Linked DNA regions of Styela clava. The protein of the gene in region 2 interacts with the protein of the main gene of each other region in a biochemical or structural test. Links are inferred from orthologs where the notes say so. Each region holds a gene or a part of one and is shown on either strand. Other genes may lie near its edges. The genes, in order: nuclear inhibitor of protein phosphatase 1-like and polycomb protein eed-like.

Evidence for each region.
Region 1: the proteins of polycomb protein eed-like (region 2) and nuclear inhibitor of protein phosphatase 1-like form a complex in vitro, tested with the Homo sapiens proteins (2 studies listed by BioGRID). The link is inferred for Styela clava from reciprocal best matches to the Homo sapiens genes EED and PPP1R8.

What each region holds. Positions count from the first base shown.
Region 1 is NC_135257.1:22,032,956-22,041,622, forward strand, and holds the start of nuclear inhibitor of protein phosphatase 1-like, read right to left. Parts: upstream 3,890-8,667; 5' UTR 3,727-3,889; coding exon 3,659-3,726; intron 1,326-3,658; coding exon 1,265-1,325; intron 493-1,264; coding exon 339-492; intron 1-338. UniProt on the Homo sapiens protein: Inhibitor subunit of the major nuclear protein phosphatase-1 (PP-1). It has RNA-binding activity but does not cleave RNA and may target PP-1 to RNA-associated substrates. May also be involved in pre-mRNA splicing.
Region 2 is NC_135261.1:18,999,204-19,008,397, forward strand, and holds the start of polycomb protein eed-like, read right to left. Parts: upstream 3,649-9,194; 5' UTR 3,565-3,648; coding exon 3,319-3,564; intron 1,670-3,318; coding exon 605-1,669; 3' UTR 1-604. UniProt on the Homo sapiens protein: Polycomb group (PcG) protein. Component of the PRC2/EED-EZH2 complex, which methylates 'Lys-9' and 'Lys-27' of histone H3, leading to transcriptional repression of the affected target gene.

The DNA.
Region 1 (8,667 bases), on a different chromosome or scaffold from region 2:
ATTACTGCCAGCGTAACAGTACAATATGGCCGGCCAACTTGAATAAAACACTTTAACACTTCGTGTTTTTATCTTTTTGCGTTCCAGATACGGCCAATTGTTACATAATTATCACAGTTTAAGCACGTGTATATTCGTAACAATTCAATTAGACCGGCATCACAATCATACGTATCAGTACCGGTATCTGCCCCTAGTGGGCGCTTCCCCTCTCCAAGCCCACAAATATTTTTCCGCGTCTAATTTCGGCCTCCGATCAATCAACCTTGGGAACCACTGGTTTAGAACGAAAGAAAAAAAATACCTAAAAAAATTCTTCCTATTTTCTATGAACTTACTGCTTCCTAAGTCAATAATGAACATTCTCTTCAGATGTTTGTGATAAACAAGGACAGCATGAACTCTGGAACAGGATGAATGTTCAGTGATGAAATCACATGAGTCAGAGTTTCGCCCGAAAACGTAACATTTTTTCTCGTCAATGATGAGTTTCTGCAAATATAAAAATAAAATTTAAACAACTGTTTCAAATTTTATCAATTGGGCAAGATGAGGAACATTGCACTTTTTACCAAATAGGTCAAAAATTTCGAAATAGGAAATTTGATATAGAAAAGAAGATTAGGGAAAATAGAAATATATATATATAATCATTGAAAAACTGGCTGTTGCAATCTTCCACAAGTTTCATAATTTTGCCGTAACAGTACGGCACACTATACAAATCGGGTGACATTCTCCCGTTTCAGAGAAACCCATTTTACAGATGATCAGACACCCCTCCTTTGGGAGACGTCTGGACATTGTTGTCCCTCAATATCGGTAAGAATACAGTATAATGAAGTTGCGCAAAATACTACAAAAAAACGCAATACAGTAACGTCATCATTGAATTCCTTGGGAAAAACTACTCCGATTTACCAAAGGAAAATTTTTTTACCGTAGCATTCGAGAGTTTTTAGCAAAAAATGGTCATATGATGGCCGCAATTAACTTAGATTATTATTGAGACGAGCATAGTGTGATATGACGCATCTGACATGGTCCCAGACACCCCTCGTTTGTGAGACACATAGAGTGTTCGTTTTATAGAGCAAAATGGAGGGAAATTCTTGGAATTTAAATAGTGTGGTATACTGTATGATAAGTTATTGAATTTTATCTCCATCAGTAAAATACATGAGTCCTGCACAGTGGAGTTCAACACTTCAAATGATGCGCCTCGGCAATAAGTTGTTGAAAATAAAATCTCAGGCAAACACACCTCAACCAACTTCTCTCCTTTCATGACATTCAGATGTGTTCCAGTAGGTGCTTTTCCTGCCCTGAACATAATAACATAGAATAACTATAGCAATCTATAGTTTGATAGTACAGTATACTTCCTACTGCTGTACTGCTAGTTGAAAGCTTATTTTTGTATTTGGCTTGACAGTCAGCGCATTGTGCTAAATATTATTACACGACTGACTGGACTACATAAGTTCGGATTATAACATAATTATGAAAGTTACAATTATAACAGGATTTGATGGACTCTTCGGAGCCGCACATATGTTATGGTACCGGTACTGTACCGCTGGTTGGTTACAGCTTTCTCAACCATATGCCCATCAAGTCCATGCATCTGAAACAAATGTGGGTAACGGGTGAAGGATAGGATAGGATTTACATATTTATCCCGGAGGAGAGGAAAGCCGATAAGACGGCTTATTCATATGGCGAACCACGGCCTCTCGTCCGGTTACCATTCCAAGTCGGGTATGGGATTAGATTTACTGTATTGTTTGTTTTCGGAAGCATGGACTTGGTGGTGGAGGAAGCCGTAACCGACCAGCGGTCCAGTCTGGATTTCATGGCCTTTTTGAACGAGAAATCGGGCGTGCAATCAGAAATTCCCGCGTGCAAATAAGTATTTCTGGCGTGCAATTATAGCTCACGGCGTGCAAAACAACTGCGCCCGCGTGAAACTGACTTCGATCTAGGATACCTCTCAATACATCCGCGTAAAATTACCGGAATAAAAATGGATAAAAAATATGTTGAATCATAGCAAAAATGGACGTTTGACCTTTGACCCCCAAACATTATTTCTACAGTTTGTTGCTAATTTTGAGAGTGGTTGTGCGACTTTGGTTACCGGCCAGACTGGATTCCATGGCAGGTGCACGCCCGAGGGCGCTAGCGCTCCGCAAAAATGCACGCGAGCGAAATCAATTTTGCACGCCGAAAATTTGCAATTGCTCACTAATGTAAATCGGTTTAAATGGTTTTAAAATCAATAATCCAGTAATATAAAGATGCCAAAATATTATAACTCCACAATTGTCGACAAATACCAGCTTGCAAGATTTGGTCTGATCGAAATATTGCGAAGCAAAAAAGACCATGGACCTTTCCCCGACCTTTGACCCGCGAAAAATTCCTCTCGTTGTTACGTCCTTTTTTGCATCTTGCTGATTGGCCAATGTCACGAAGTAAACAAGGAAGTCGATGCTCGGGGGAAAGGTCCATATCGTGTTGAATGATAGGAATCCCGTGAGAATAGATATGGACGAAAAGATCGCCTCCGCACCAATGGCCAAGTACGGCTCTGATTCAGCGTATTTTTCATACAATAATTTTACACGAATGTACTGAACAGTACCGGTATCTAAAGTTGCTCAAACACTCCCAAAATTAGTGACAAAGTATGAAAATAATATTTGGGGTCAAAGGTCAAACGTCCATTTTTTTCTCTGATTCAACGTATTTTTTTCCGATACCGGTAATTTTACGCGGATGTATTGAGAGGTATCTGATGTCAAAGTCAGTTGCACGCGAGCGCAGTTGTTTTGCACGTCCTGAGCTATAATTGCACGCCAGGAATTCTTATTTGCACGCGGGAATTTCTGATTGCACGCCCGATTTCTCGTTCAAAAAGGCCATGAAATCCAGACTGGGTTACCGGTACTGTTCAGTACATCCGTGTAAAATTATTGTTTGAAAAATACGCTGAATCAAAGCCATAACTGGCCAGCGTCGGTGAGGGGGCGATCTTTCTCACTGGATTCCTGTCATTCAACACGATATGGTGTTTTTTGCTTCGCATTTTTCGATCAGGCCAAACTTGCAATCTAGTATTAGTCGACAATTGTGAAGTTATAATTTTTTGGCATCTTTATATTACTAGATAATTGATGTACAAACTATTTAAACCGATTTACATCAATGAGCAATTGCAAATTTTCGGTGAACAAAAATGAATTCGCTCGCGTGCATTTTTGTGGAGCGCTAGCGCCTTCTGGCGTGCATCTGCCATGGAATCCAGTCTGGCCAGCGGTTACGTGAACCACCCAACGACGGCGAGGAGTCCAGCAATCCTCTCGCACATAACCATCCCTGCATGGGATTCGAACCTGCGAACCCACGCAGAGTAGTTAGAGGTGCGGTGGCGAATGTATTCCTAACGCTTAGCCCGTTGAGCCACGCCGCCGCGCCTATACCCATATCTGCATATTGGACATGAACTGATAACTGGACAACAGTTCAAGGTTCGCCATAGCAATAAGCCATTTCCATTCCTCCCCAACCTGCTAACAGGCTGAATATCAAAATCCTATATGAAACATGATATCTTAAGTCATACTGTCAGTAAGTAAAAAACAAGGAAACTCACCAAGAAGGAACTTCAAAATCCACTTTCGCTGGATTAGCAAATTTCCCGGAAGGTTTAATTGCCGTCATTTCAATATCCAAGCCTCAATAACTAAACCACTCTCTCAAACGTGCAACATTTTCCAAGAATCTAATCGAAAGCTATCCAAAATATCTATCAACATGCACACACAACCGAACTTGCAGACAATATAGAGGTGGATGGAGTCAATATATATTGGGAAATGAAAATTCCATTTTGTTTGAGTTTCATAAGATTACTGTTAGGATTAGGAAAATATTTCATGATTATGGTGGAGAAAGAAAGAACTGATAAAATTACGATATTGCCATCGACGGCCTTTTTTGTGGGTTCAAATCCATGTTGCGCATGGTAATATTTACTCGTTCTAGATACATAGACTTGCTGATAAAAAACTGTAACCGAGTACGCTGACCATTTCGATCATACAGTACATATTTATATTTGCGAGATTCGAAGTCAAGCATTAAAAATCAATCGTACACAAATTACGAGCAAATAAATAAGTACACATTTTTAATGGAAAAGGAAATTACGGGGACAACCAAGGTTCAAAAATCGCAGTAATCAATTTCAATGTCGCAACTACTGTATTTGCATCAGGTGCGACAAGGGTTGGGATTTCGGAACAAGTTTTTGAAATCCCGGTATCGATATATCCCGGGATTGAGCCGTATAAAGTAAAGATTGAAACATCTTGCATGACAATAAAATCATGTATTTCTTTCATGTAATATCGACGCAGAAATATTAGGGCATCTAGGGCAGTGGTTCCCAACCATTGTTATATCGTGGCACACTATTTAGCTCTTTAAATATTCGCGGCACACCTATCACAAAACACGAACATTTTCTACCCATAAAGAGTGCAATAGTCGAACGCGAACAAATGGTTAACAGTTACCGATATTAGAACTGTTTTCTTAAACATGAATGAGAGCGTCTTCGGAGCACCTCACATTATTCTAAAAGTAGCGCGGCCTCACGGGTAATACGTGGTCTTCAGACGCACCGCCGATCACGCGCTTCGGTTTTGCTCGCCCTTCCCTGTTCCATGTTACGCCCTTATCATTATCACATGTATTCTCACTTTTTCACAACCTTATTCATTTTTGTTACAATTCAATATTTTTCTCCCATTACCAAAAATCATTCAATAGAGCTATTGTCGGCAGTTGCGAGAGAATTGAAAGTGGCAAACAAACTGTATTTCATTACAACAATTAATTATTATCGCTAAAAACACTAAATAGGTTTAAAGTTGTTATAAACGATTTTTACAGCTGGACATATCTTTTCACGTTTGGAATTTCCGATTTTGGAAAGCCCGAACATAAATTTGATGGCAAAGATCATAGCATTTACTATGTCGAAACGCTTATTCAACTTTTCAGACCGCAGAAACTATCTGAAAAAGATGACCGTTTTTGTGTTCGAGGTATGGAATAATCGTAAATTCCACCACGCTTTTGTGAAGTAGTGCAATTTACTAAATTCATGGAGGATTTATTAAGTTTCATTGCATCAGTGTTTGGACTACCACGCGTTTTAATATTGGTTTTATTACTATTTCTTTTATTATTTACTGGCGTGATTACAGATCGCAAGGGTGGTCAAAATAGTATATTTTCATCTAATAATTTTAACGAATTGTCAAATATCGGGTTGAATTCGAGATTTTATTCCGATTTTCAACTTTTAGGTCGGTTTGGATCTTTCTTGTCACCGTTTGTAAACTAACTGTCCCAATTTTAAGCTAAAAATATTATCATTTCTGACGCCGGAATGCGGATATTTATGAAGACGATAGTTGACCTTCTTGACTTCACTTTTCAACTGTGTGGCTGTTTTATTTTCGTATATAGTGAATTAAAACACTGCGAAGTCATTGTGTGCATCCTGAATGCTATTTTGAGTTCAAATTATAATTAAATAAGTCGGCAATAATGACAATTCTACTAGTCAAATAATAATTCCTTGGCACAATTTGAGGAAAATTTCACACAATAATTCTACTTCCACTCAAACTGTGAGCGTGGATTGTTTTTTTCAAAATAAGTATTATATAAAATAGTATAACCTACCATCTGTGAGAATATCTATAGGTGGATAATAAAGCCTTAATTAAATTCTCGGGATATTTAGGAAATAATTGCGGGATCGGGATTGAAAAAAACAGTCCAAATCCCGGGATTCTTAGGATGTATATATTTTATACCTCATTCATGTTACTTTTTAGGCTAACCTGTAACAGCGCTGTGGGTATCGCTGCTTGAAGACCTCCATACGTCCCTCGCGACTCCGGTCACACAACTAACATAATTAGTACTATTATTTATTTATTCATTGCATCAGTTTTTATTTGAACTTGTTTTTGTAATGACAAATAAACGATTGGCTGATTGATTGATTAAAGTTTAGGAATTTAAGCAGTTAGTACTGTTATTGGACACGAAATGGATTTTTTTTCATGTTGTTGTTGTATAAATTTTGCCCTACGGTTTCACGGCGCGGCGGTGTGGCTCATCGTGCTAAGCGTTAGGAATACGCTTGCCACCGAACCTCTGATTACTCTGCGTGGGTTAGCAAGTTCGAATCTCAAGCAGAGATGGTTACGTGCGAGAGGATCGCTGGACTCTTCGCCGCCGTGGGGTGGTTTCCGTAACTGCTGGTCGGTTATGGCTTCCTCCACCATCAAGTCCATGCTACCGAAAACAAATGACTAAGTTAACTAATCCCATACCCGAGGCCGTGGTTCGTCATTTTGGTAAACCGTCCTATCGGTTCCCCCCCCCCCCCCTCGGGATAAATATATAAATCCTATCCTACCCTATTAGTGGGCCAATCGCTTAGAATCAATTAGGCAATTGAAAGTGGTTAAAGATTGTTGTTGTGCATGAAGCTTATTACTTTCGTTTTATTTTAAAATTTCCATGGGTTTTATGGGATTCGTTTTACCACCCTGAAGTTTTGTGTGACGATGTCACCAGGATTAAAAAAATTGCGCACCGTGTGGCGGTTGCTCTCACCATCGCATTTCAATGATATGATACCATTGAACTGAAAAAACATGGAACGATCTTCTCTCTCGTTTTGCGTTGTCTCGCCGCGGGATCATTTGATCGCCGCCATCTTGGCATTTATGCTGCCAAAGTTTCTTCGTGTTGCATATGGTTTTGGCCAGTATTTCGTCTATTTTAGTACTCAGTGTCACTTTTGGGACCCGGAAATGATAAGTCGATTTGCCAGACTCGTTTTATTGAGAATATTCAAAACGGTTGACTAAAATATAAATGAAATATTTAGCACCAAATAAGTCGAAGACAAATGATACAGAATATAAAACTGATATCAATTAATCAATCATCATTTTATTCGTCAGCACAAAATAAACGTATCATAAGAAAAAAACATTTCAAATACAATATGAACTTAACTTAAGTTGTGTGACAGGAGTCGCGAGGGACCTCATAAGGTCTTCAGGCAGCGACACCTTAAAAGCTCGCTGATTCAGGTTAGTGAGCACAAAAAGTTAATGAAACACCAAAACACTTCAAAAAATATTATAAGAAAAAAAAAGCAGCATTTTCGGAAAACATAATATTAACAAATATGTTTCATGAATGGTTTGCAAAAGCAAAACATTCCAGTTATGAGCATGTTTCTTAAAATCCACGACCAACGATGCAACTTAATGCACTGTACAAATTCATTAGATATATAGAAAGGAAAATAAATAAAAAATAATATACTGTATTAATTACTCAAGCGGGATCAGCCATTGTCCTGATCACTGGCATGGTGTAAGCAAGCAATTAAAAATTTGATTCTCAGAAAGTCAGACTCCACGCACATCTGATTTTCCCGCAGAACAGAGCGTGGATAGACAGAATCGAATGTTTGGTCAGAAAAATAGGGCTTGGGGGTTTGTTGCAAAGAAAAGCAGTACAGGTACCGGTAGTGGTTAATTATCAATTCAAAGAAAGGTAGTCACTAATGTACTTCATTTTTAGTTCTCTTTTGAAACCATGATAAGAGAGTGATCTTAGGGTACCTGATATATTGTTCCATAACTTCACACCAATGTATTTGATGGATTTCTGCGTTCTACATGTGTGTATCTGGATACATGGAAGGCACCTTGTGATCCGATCTTGTGCAATACGAATGAACGCTAGTTTGCTTGGTGAAATACCCTACAAATGCTCTTGGAGGTTTGTTGTCAAAGTACTGGTTGATAAGTTTCAATACCTCGAATTCATGGACGTGGCAAAGTTTCATTACTTTAAATTTATGGTACAAGTGGTCAAGTCTGGATCGTAAGGGTGCATCACCTATAGCTCTGATCGATTTATTTTGCAACACCTCCAATCTGCGAAGTAAGTTGGAGGATGCGCTTCCCCATGCTACAATACCATACTGAAGATATGACTGAAAGAGCGAAAAATAAACTAATCGCAAAGCCGATGTGGTGAGAAATTTTTCAAGTTTAAATAATATACCTGCTTTTCTACCTAGCTTGCCAGCAATGTAGTTGATGTGTGTTGCCCATTTTAACCGATTACCAATGTGTATGCCCAAGTATTTGTAGGAGTCCACATTATCAAGTAAAATGCCATTAATTAATGGAAATTTGGAACAAGTACCTACTTCTGTCATTTCTATTGGAGTTAATGAAAAGGGATTTGGATTTTGCAATATTTAGTTAGTTTATTGATAGTCATCCAGGTTGCAATATTTTGTATTTCAGAGTTCATGTGCATTTTCAAGTTGTTTGGTGAAACTGAACTACCGAATAATCCGGTATCGTCAGCAAAGAGTTTGACCAATAATTTGGTGGCATGAGGAAGATCGTTGACGAATAATACGAACATTAATGGGCCGATTATTGTGCCCTGTGGAATTCCGCATTGCACAGTTGAGAATGTGGAGCAATTTGTCCCTACTTTGACATATTGCTGACGTGAGCTTAAATAGCTCTGGAAGAA
Region 2 (9,194 bases):
ATGTGACGAGGTTGGTTGATAATGCAAAACAAACATTGATTCAAGAATGAAGATATGGCCTACACAGAATAGCAAAAGTTTCGATATGATTAACAGCATATCAGTGATGTCGGAACTATACATATACGGATATAGGTATGCAAGAAACCTTGTTATGTAACTTTTAACATACTTTAAAAAATGAGTGGATTTACCTCTGGAACAAATTGCAGCAGTTTACTTGTCAGATACCTCTGCCCACTGGAATAAGATACTTTAAAACATCAAAAAGCTGTGACTTTTCCAATGCTTTGTCAATGAATTTACATACTGCAAAGGTTACATGCAAAACAATTGGTAGATGGTTTGTATTCATGATTGAGTAAGGCATGCCGGTAGTCAACCCCTTCGCTGAGCAGCATATTTTGGGTTATACCAAGCAATATCAGGTAGCGAAACATGGTCCATGATGATTGGTGGAGAAACAATAGTGCAAATTTAGACACATTCAAATTTAGAGAATATAAAGCAATATTTTACTGAAGCATTCAACTTTTCATTTTTGACTGGCTATAACCAACCCAGTGCAACTTTAACTGCACAACAAAATACAGTGGCTGATAGCTCATTTTCCCTGCAAATCCCATCTCCAAATTGTAGCATCATCACATACACAGATAAGAATGTTTCCTTCTTTTGAGAAAGCAGTTTGACGAATTGAATTTGTGCATCTAACGTTGACCAGAGGCAAGCACTTTGGTTTAGAAGTATCCATTTTCTCAAGATCCCAAACAAAGGTTTTCCCATATTGATTTCCAAGAGCAAGAAATCGCTGTCGCATATCCATTGCAAATCGCATATACCATATTTCGCAATGTTGATATTGAAGTCGACTTAGAATAGTAACATTAGTCTTTTCCATTAACTTTAAGGTGTCTATATCAGACTCGACAAACCCTGGTTTCCAGCATACAAGATGATTTTCACATGATTTTGAAAGTAAAAAGTCACCATACCATTTAACACAATCAACATAATTCCTGTGAATGTCCCTCGTGGTGAAATATGGATAATGGATATGAATGGTTGGAAAAGGTTTGTTATATTTTGAGCCATCATATTTTTCCGAAGCTTCCATAGCGAGCTCTATGATTGATTGATCTAATCGCCAAATTTTCAATGAATGATCCATCCCACATGACACAATTTTAGTTCCAGTGATATCAAAATCGCAACTCAAAACCTCATCTCTGTGACCTTCCACCCCTCCAAAAACGCAAACCAACGTGTCAGTTTTTATATTCCACATACGCAAAGAATGGTCTTTTGAAGCACTCAACAGCAAATTTAGCTTTGTTGGATGAAATTTCAATTCATTCACTGCATTACCGTGACCATGGTAATGCTTCGCACACTGCTTTGTGATAATGTTGAATACTCTTATCACTCCTCTTGACCCAGCAAATGAAAGAATGGGGTGACCAGTTGTTGTATCAAGACTCCAAGCACAGGTATAAAATGTTTCATCATGGTCGGGATCTTCATAGGCTTGTAGGAGTTTTATGTATCCGTTTTCGCAACATTCGTAAATAGTTGCACGATTGCTTCCAACAGTAGCAAACATTTGGGGTTCATTTTCACCCATGAATTGATTGAAACTAACGCCAAACAAGGGTTTTCCATGGTCCTCCTGATTTAAAAAATGGTGTAATACAATCACTATAATTATTTGATACACTTACAAAAGAATGGGATTTACATATTTATCCCAGGGGAGAAGTAAGTCGATTGGGATTAGCCAGTTTATTTATTTCAGATGCATGGACTTGATGGTGGAGGAAGCCGTAACCGATCAGCCAGCAGTTTAGTGAACGACTATACGGCAGTGAGGAGTCCAGCAATCCTCTCGCACATACTTATTCCCCATAAGATTTGAACCTGCAAACCCACGCAGAATAATCAGAGGTGCGATGGCGATTGTATTCTCAACATTTAGCACGATGCACCATCATGGTTTAATTCGAAAAATTGCGACAAATATTAATATATACAGATATATAAACAGTGCAACAGTCAGACAGTAATACTGTATCATATGAACTGCAGTCCTACCAATCATACTCCTGTACTCAGCACCTAGGGACATTATGGGATCTCGTATAGTTTAGTACCTAACGTACTTCTAGACCAGTCTGGATTTCATGGCCTTTTCGAACGAGAAATCGGGCGTGCAATCAGAAATTCCCGCGTGCAAATAAGAATTTCTGGCGTGCAATTATAGCTCACGGCGTGCAAAACAACTGCGCCCGCTAAACTGATTTCGACCTAAGATACCTCTCAATACATCCGCGTAAAAATAAGTTGGATCATAGCAAAAATGGACGTTTGACCTTTGACCCCCAAAACATCATTTCGGGATTCCTATCATTCAACACGATATGGTGATTTTTGCTTCGCATTTTTCGATCAGGCCAAATCTTGCAAGCAAGTATTAGTCGACAATTGTAAAGTTATAATTTTTTGGCATCTTTATATTACTAGATTAGTGATTTAAAAACTATTTAAACCGATTTACATTGGTGAGCAATTGCAAATTTTCGGCGTGCAAAATTGAATTCGCTCGCGTGCATTTTTGTGGAGCGCTAGCGCCCTCGGGCGTGCATCTGCCATGGAATCCAGTCTGGCTTCTAGAGGGCGTAGCATAACAATTTTTTGATATGTCAATCCTAACCCCCATCTGACTAGCCTATGCCATCCAAAAATTATGTCACTACGACATAACAATCACGTCATAGAGCTTGCCAAATACTGAAACATACGTGAGATCGCCCGAAATGGCATCGGCGCCGGCGCCTCTCATATTGGGATCGTTGCGACGAGAAAACGAGAGAGATAGCTTGCTCGATTTCGGGTGCTCGTATGCGCACCTTGGATGACAGTTCGTATAGTTTGAAGGGCTCTATTACGTCACTGTGACGCCATAGTGACTTAATTTTTGGATGGTGTAGTCAGGTGAGGGTTAGGATTGACACATGAAAAAATTGTTATGCTATGCCCACTACAGCACTAGACTGCTAGAAGTAGACTATGTTAGGTACGAAACTACATGAGACCCCATTATGGCCAGGTACGGTTATAGAAATACAAATTTCAGTTATCGAATTTTTTCAATTAGCTCACTTTGTATTTTTTTTATTGCTGTATTAGAGAGGCACACATTCAGACACTGCACCCTAATTCAGTAATTGGGAATGGATAGGATAGGATAGGATTTACATATTGATCCCGGGGGAGAGGAAAGCTGTAATGGTGATGTTATTGACTTAACAAAATACCGACCTTCAACGAATTGACACACTTGAAAAGAGATTTTAGAATTTGCTTTTTATGAAATTTCCCTCGGCCTTTGAATCTTCTTTTTGTGGTACCGGCACCGCTTCCGTGACTAACGCCGGAACTTAATTCGGAATCATTATCATCAGAGTTATTGTCCATGTCGTTACTTGCAACTGATGCGTCTTCTGTGTTATCATCATCTACTTCCATTTCGCTCTTCCTTTTAACTTTTTCCATTTTGATTTTCATCGGTGTTTCAGTCAGCAGTACCGTAACATTACGAGCACACAAACGCTCTGCCAAGTTAACGTTTTATAAAACGCGCGAACCGGCTTTGCGCAGAAAGAATCCGTGCACTGCCAGTAGTAGTGTATCGCAAGAGTCTAATCTGGTTATATTCCATGTGATAAATTTTAAATTTCAGGAATGATTTCGAATGTTTCATCTAAAAATTAGTATTTTTTTCTATATCAAATTCAGGGACACACAAATATAGATTACATACAAAAAATTTCATATTTCATTTTTTACGGTACCAGTTACAGTGCAGTACTTGGCTTCATTCTGTTTATACAATGCGCATTTTTATTATATATGGCAAAAAAAACAGTGATTACCCAAGAATGTATTTTTAGAGTAGTAACTTATCTATATAATTTGGTCCCTTCCTGTATCTGTGTATGTAGTGATTTAGGTAAAAAAATTACCATTATCTTTTGCCATCTGGTGTTTCGAAAAAATTAGTCGCATCAGCTGAATATTAATATCATTATGTAGCCTACTGTTAATTAATACCTTTTATTTAATTGTTGTAATTAAATAAATTGTTGTAATTTTAATGTTGTAATTTTCAGGTGCCATGAAATTAGCTATCATCAGTGTTGATGATGGCTAATAATGCCTTGTCGAGTAACGTCCCTAATAATTGAATATGCTATCTGTATAGTGCTAACGTGTCGCAGTTGCGCCACTCGCTAGTATGTTCTGTTGCTGTAAGCATCTTATGTTGTGTGTTATGCTGGTGTAATAAAGAAGTGTAAGCGTATTCAGTTGAACCCTTATTCTATAATAGCTTGGGTGTAGAACTTAACATATAACCAAGACATTATTAACAATCAGTACTGTTTAAATGTTGTGCACATATAGAATTGTTTAAGGTCTTTCAAAATACCTGTCATAATTTATTTTCAGCATGTTTTGCAAATTGTAGTAGCTAGTTTAGTGTACCGGATTCTAGGGGTCAATTTGCTTCTATTGGAAGTTGTCTTCAATTTTAGGGTCCTTTAGTGTTTTTATTGTGTATATGGTTTTTCTTGCATTGTGCTGCCTGGTGTTTGTTGTTTTTATTGTATGCTTTCCGTTTTGTTGGAGTATTTGGTTGTATTGAGGTTGATAATTATTAAATAGAACAAAATAGTATAAATTGAAGTGAATATTGAGAGGAAACTTGACGTCAGATCATAATGGAAGATATTCTGAACTTGGATAATTATTACATAGACTGCCGGTACGCTACAAAAGTATAAATATAGTCAAGGTTTGCATACGTCCTTATTTTTGAGATTTTTCCTTCAATCATAACATGAATATCAAGCAAAGAGCACAGATGGCAATGAATGTCAATGTGCTATATTCCCAACAGGTTCAATTCCAAAAGTGGCAAGTTTGGTTCGGTCTGTGGCATATGCCTCCTAATATTTCCGTCAAATGTATTTGCGTGTTGTGCAATTTTTCCCCTGCCAAAACGATTTCCTGAGATTTTTCTAGTCACCTTGGTTGTTTATTTGACCCTACCCATCACGGCCACTCTTGCAAGTTAAAAAGAATCTTGACTTGCGATTAGATGTTTGAATCTTCATTATCATAGAGTTGGCCGGTTAGTGAAAAACACTAAGCGCTAACCCAGTGGCGGCGCGTCAATAGGGCCAATCGGGGCAATGCCCCGGTTGTTTTTTCGGTATGATAAAAAATATTCGAAAAATACCTCAATATCGGTTGCACAGACTGTCTACACTAGCCATATTCTCCCGACATGGTTCATTTTTCGCTCGCAAAGCCTTCGCCGAACGTCGACGGGGCGACGCCGATTTTGCCCCGGTTGCTCATTGTATATCGTATTCTCTCTTTTATCTTCCACTCGCCGCGTTTGTCTCGTTTGTTTTCTGTTTCTTTTACTAAATCATCGGGGCCGATCGGGGCTAGCCCCGAAATTATGACGACACAATGCCGACGTTTCTTACAACAACGTGTTGACATATTCACGCATTCCTTCTCGTTCGTTGGTTGCTTGAAGAGTTGATAGTTTCCTCGTCTTCGTTTTTGTCGCTTGTTTCGCTATTTGAATCAGTTAGAGACCTTTAGTCCATTTGCTTTCGATTTTCCACATTCCTTTTGAGCTCCTCACTTCTTTCCGGCTTCGCATTTCTTAGCCTTAGACCTCATAATGAATAAGGTTGATGCACTACTTCGCACTCCGTTTTCGCAGCTGCCGCTGGAACAAAAACTAGAGGTTCAACGTTCTGGGCCTTATCAACCAAAAAATTGTTCACTGGAACAATCCCATGACGGAGGAAAGCGTCGGCGTACATTCTGCGCAGAAACTTGGTATAAAAAACACGAATGGTTGTGTTACAGCGAGGACAAAAATGCACTTTTTTGTTTTTATTGCCTACTTTTTGCTACCGCCCGTGACTCACGTTGGTGTAAATTTGGTTTTAGAGATCTTAAACATCTTTCCGAGCGTGCCAGGGATCATCAATCTTCTATGGAGCATCTGAACAATGCAGTAAAATACTGAACATTCGGAAATGTTAATATTGCAGCACAGTTGGATGAAGGACGCGCGGTTTCTATTCGTCGGCACAACCAAAACGTCGAGAAAAACCGCCATGTTCTCGGTCGATTGATAGATGTTTTGAAGTTCATTGGTTGTCACGAGCTGTCCCTCCGTGGGCACGATGAACGGGCTGGCTCTTCTAATAGAGGGGTATTTTTGGATATGGTGGAATACACCGCATCCCTAGATACAGTATTGAGAGATCATCTTGATGCCGCAACTGTTTCGAAAGGGACATCTAAGGATATCCAAAATGATTTGCTCGACTCAATGTATAAAGTTTATTTACAACATTTGGCTCTGGAAATTGAGAATTGCCAGTTCCTTTCGATTCAGTCTGACGAGACAACTGACATCACGTGCGTTTCCCAACTGGCTGTGATTTTTCGGTTTGTGAAAGATGGTAAACCTACCGAGAGATTTCACAGCTTTGTACCAATCGTTGATCGCACGGCTTGCGGGATATCGGCTGTACTGAAAGAAGTGTTACAGCCTTACAACGCGAAGTCAAAATTGATAGCTCAAACTTATGACGGCGCGGCAGTCATGAGTGGGTCGAAACATGGTGTTCAAGTTTATATAAAAATAGATTTTCCTCATGCGCATTTTTTACATTGTTATGCACACCAATTAAACCTTGTTACTGAAAATATGTGTCTTGATACCCCTCTCGTCCGTATATTTTTTGCAAATGTTTCGGGATTTTTTTCCGTTTCGCCGAAGCGCTCTGACCTCCTTCGCCAGATATGTAGCCGCCGTCTCCCAGCTTGTGCACCAACACGTTGGAACTTCCAATCACGCGTGGTGCAGGGCGTGTCCGAAATTAGGTCTGAGCTCATTGAGTGTTTCAATGGCATTCAGAGCTCTCCGGTTTGGGACGAACGCTCTGTGAGGTAGGCGGCAGGTCTAAAGCGTCTGCTAGAAGATGGTGAGTTTTCATTTTTTCTCGCTTTTTTCTCCACAATATTCTATCACGTGGATGTATTATACGGCGCATTGCAGTCAAGGCTAATGGATGGAGCGTCTGTGCAGTCGTGTATTTCAGACTTCTGCGATGCTGGATCTCGTATCCGGGAAACAATAAAACGACGACACATGGAGTGCTTCTTTACGCCGCGGGCAAACAACGCAGCGTTTGATTTTGTCTGCAAAGGAATGCTGTGACATTCTGGTGAATCAAATAGGCGATCGTCTGCGCACTGAACACCTTGCCGCGTTCTCTTTGATGAACCCCAAAAATTTTTCAAAATTTGCACGTCAATTTCCCATCCATTTGTTGGCTACTGTCTCCAAATTTTACCCCATGATAAACGTGGGTAAATTGGAAAATGAATTGCGATGTATATACACCAATCAAACTTTTTTGAACATCACATCAACTTGCGCGCTCTATGGGTTCCTCATAGATAACACTCTAGTAACTACCTTTGCGGCGTCTGCAAAATTTCTGGACATCATTTTGACGACGCCTATTTCTTCCGCCGACGCAGAGCGAACATTCAGCACGCTGAAGCGTATTAACCGTATCTCAGAAACACAATGAAGCAAGATAGATTAAATTCCTTGGCTGTTTTATCCATTCACAGAGACGTTATTTCTGGGATGCATGACTTTAATCAGCGCGTTATTGAGCATTTTGCTTCCAAGAAACCGCAGCGTGTTGCATATATGTTCAAGCAGTAGAAGTCTAGCAGCATATATATCTGTGAGTGAGCGACGCATGTCCTTATCTTTGCATTATCTTTCCTTTCTTCATAGTAACGTTTTAAACCTTATTTTAGGTTTTGTCTGCTTTCCCGAAGTTTCTGTTAATATGTCATTGTATTTATCTGGGTAAATATTGCCTTTCCTTTTGAAAGAAGTTTCAAAATAAACTATGTCTATATTTATTAATCCCTTGACTTGGACTGGTTTTAAAGACACTTTCTTATCGTTAAAAATTGTCGCTTTTGCCGATTGGTTGTTACCGATGGAATGGGTTTTATACTCATAAAATGATGATTGGAGAACTTACAGCGCTCATCCTGTCCCCGTAGATGGGGGTGACTTGGTCCCGCAGTAGCTTGCCCCGTAAGTTCAATCCCGCGCCGCCACTGCGCTAACCACTGTTTACGTGGGAGAAACAAAACAAAATAGAAACTCGAAGCAAGGAACATAAGCGAGATGTTAAACAAAAAATATTTGAGAGTTTGACCCTCTTTAGATATGCCATTTAAACAGATCACAGTAGAAAACGAAACAAACTACAGGAAAAGACGATTTGAATAGAAGAGCCTAATGAAACAAGGTTTACAAATTATTTTCAATAGAATTAGCTGCTTTTCAATTTTATTATGTACGGGAAAGTCTCTGGACGGAGTCTCTGCCTCCACGCATGCGCGACAATAAACTGATATACCGCTTTCCTTATCCTCGTTATTGGATGAACAATATATTTACCGTTTAATATTCCGCAAACCGCGAGATATTTACCGCAAAACAAGAACCGACGGAAAAAGTCAGCATGCAATTGATAACTATTGCGCGTTGTCAGACTCTGGCTAAGATAATCAATCAATCATTTATTTTTTCTCCTCTGATTAAAACATGAAAAAACATAGAAAATTCAGACAGGGCAACAAGGTGCAGAAAAAACAAGGAGGTTGAGCATAGCCTAAAATAAGGTTAAAAAAGTACATGAATACGCGCCCATCCACCTGATAGAAAAAGCCTTTAAAAGGAGTAAAACATATAAGCACGGATGCTTATTTTAATCAACATGCGGGCGGTCTTTGCACATCGTAAGTGCCGACTTCGGGTCTTTGGATAGACCGGAATCTATATAGACGGGACACAATGAAAACGTATCGAACGCGCCACTCTCAGCCCCTTTATCCACAAACAAGAAACATGCATAAATCAGCTTCTTTTTTATACACTTGGCAAAGAACAGCGGTTTTCTTAAATGAATAAAACACAATTGATTAACTTAAGTCACAATACATATAACAACAACAATGGTCAAAATTCTTACCAAACGTTATAACACATAAGTAAACAGTCT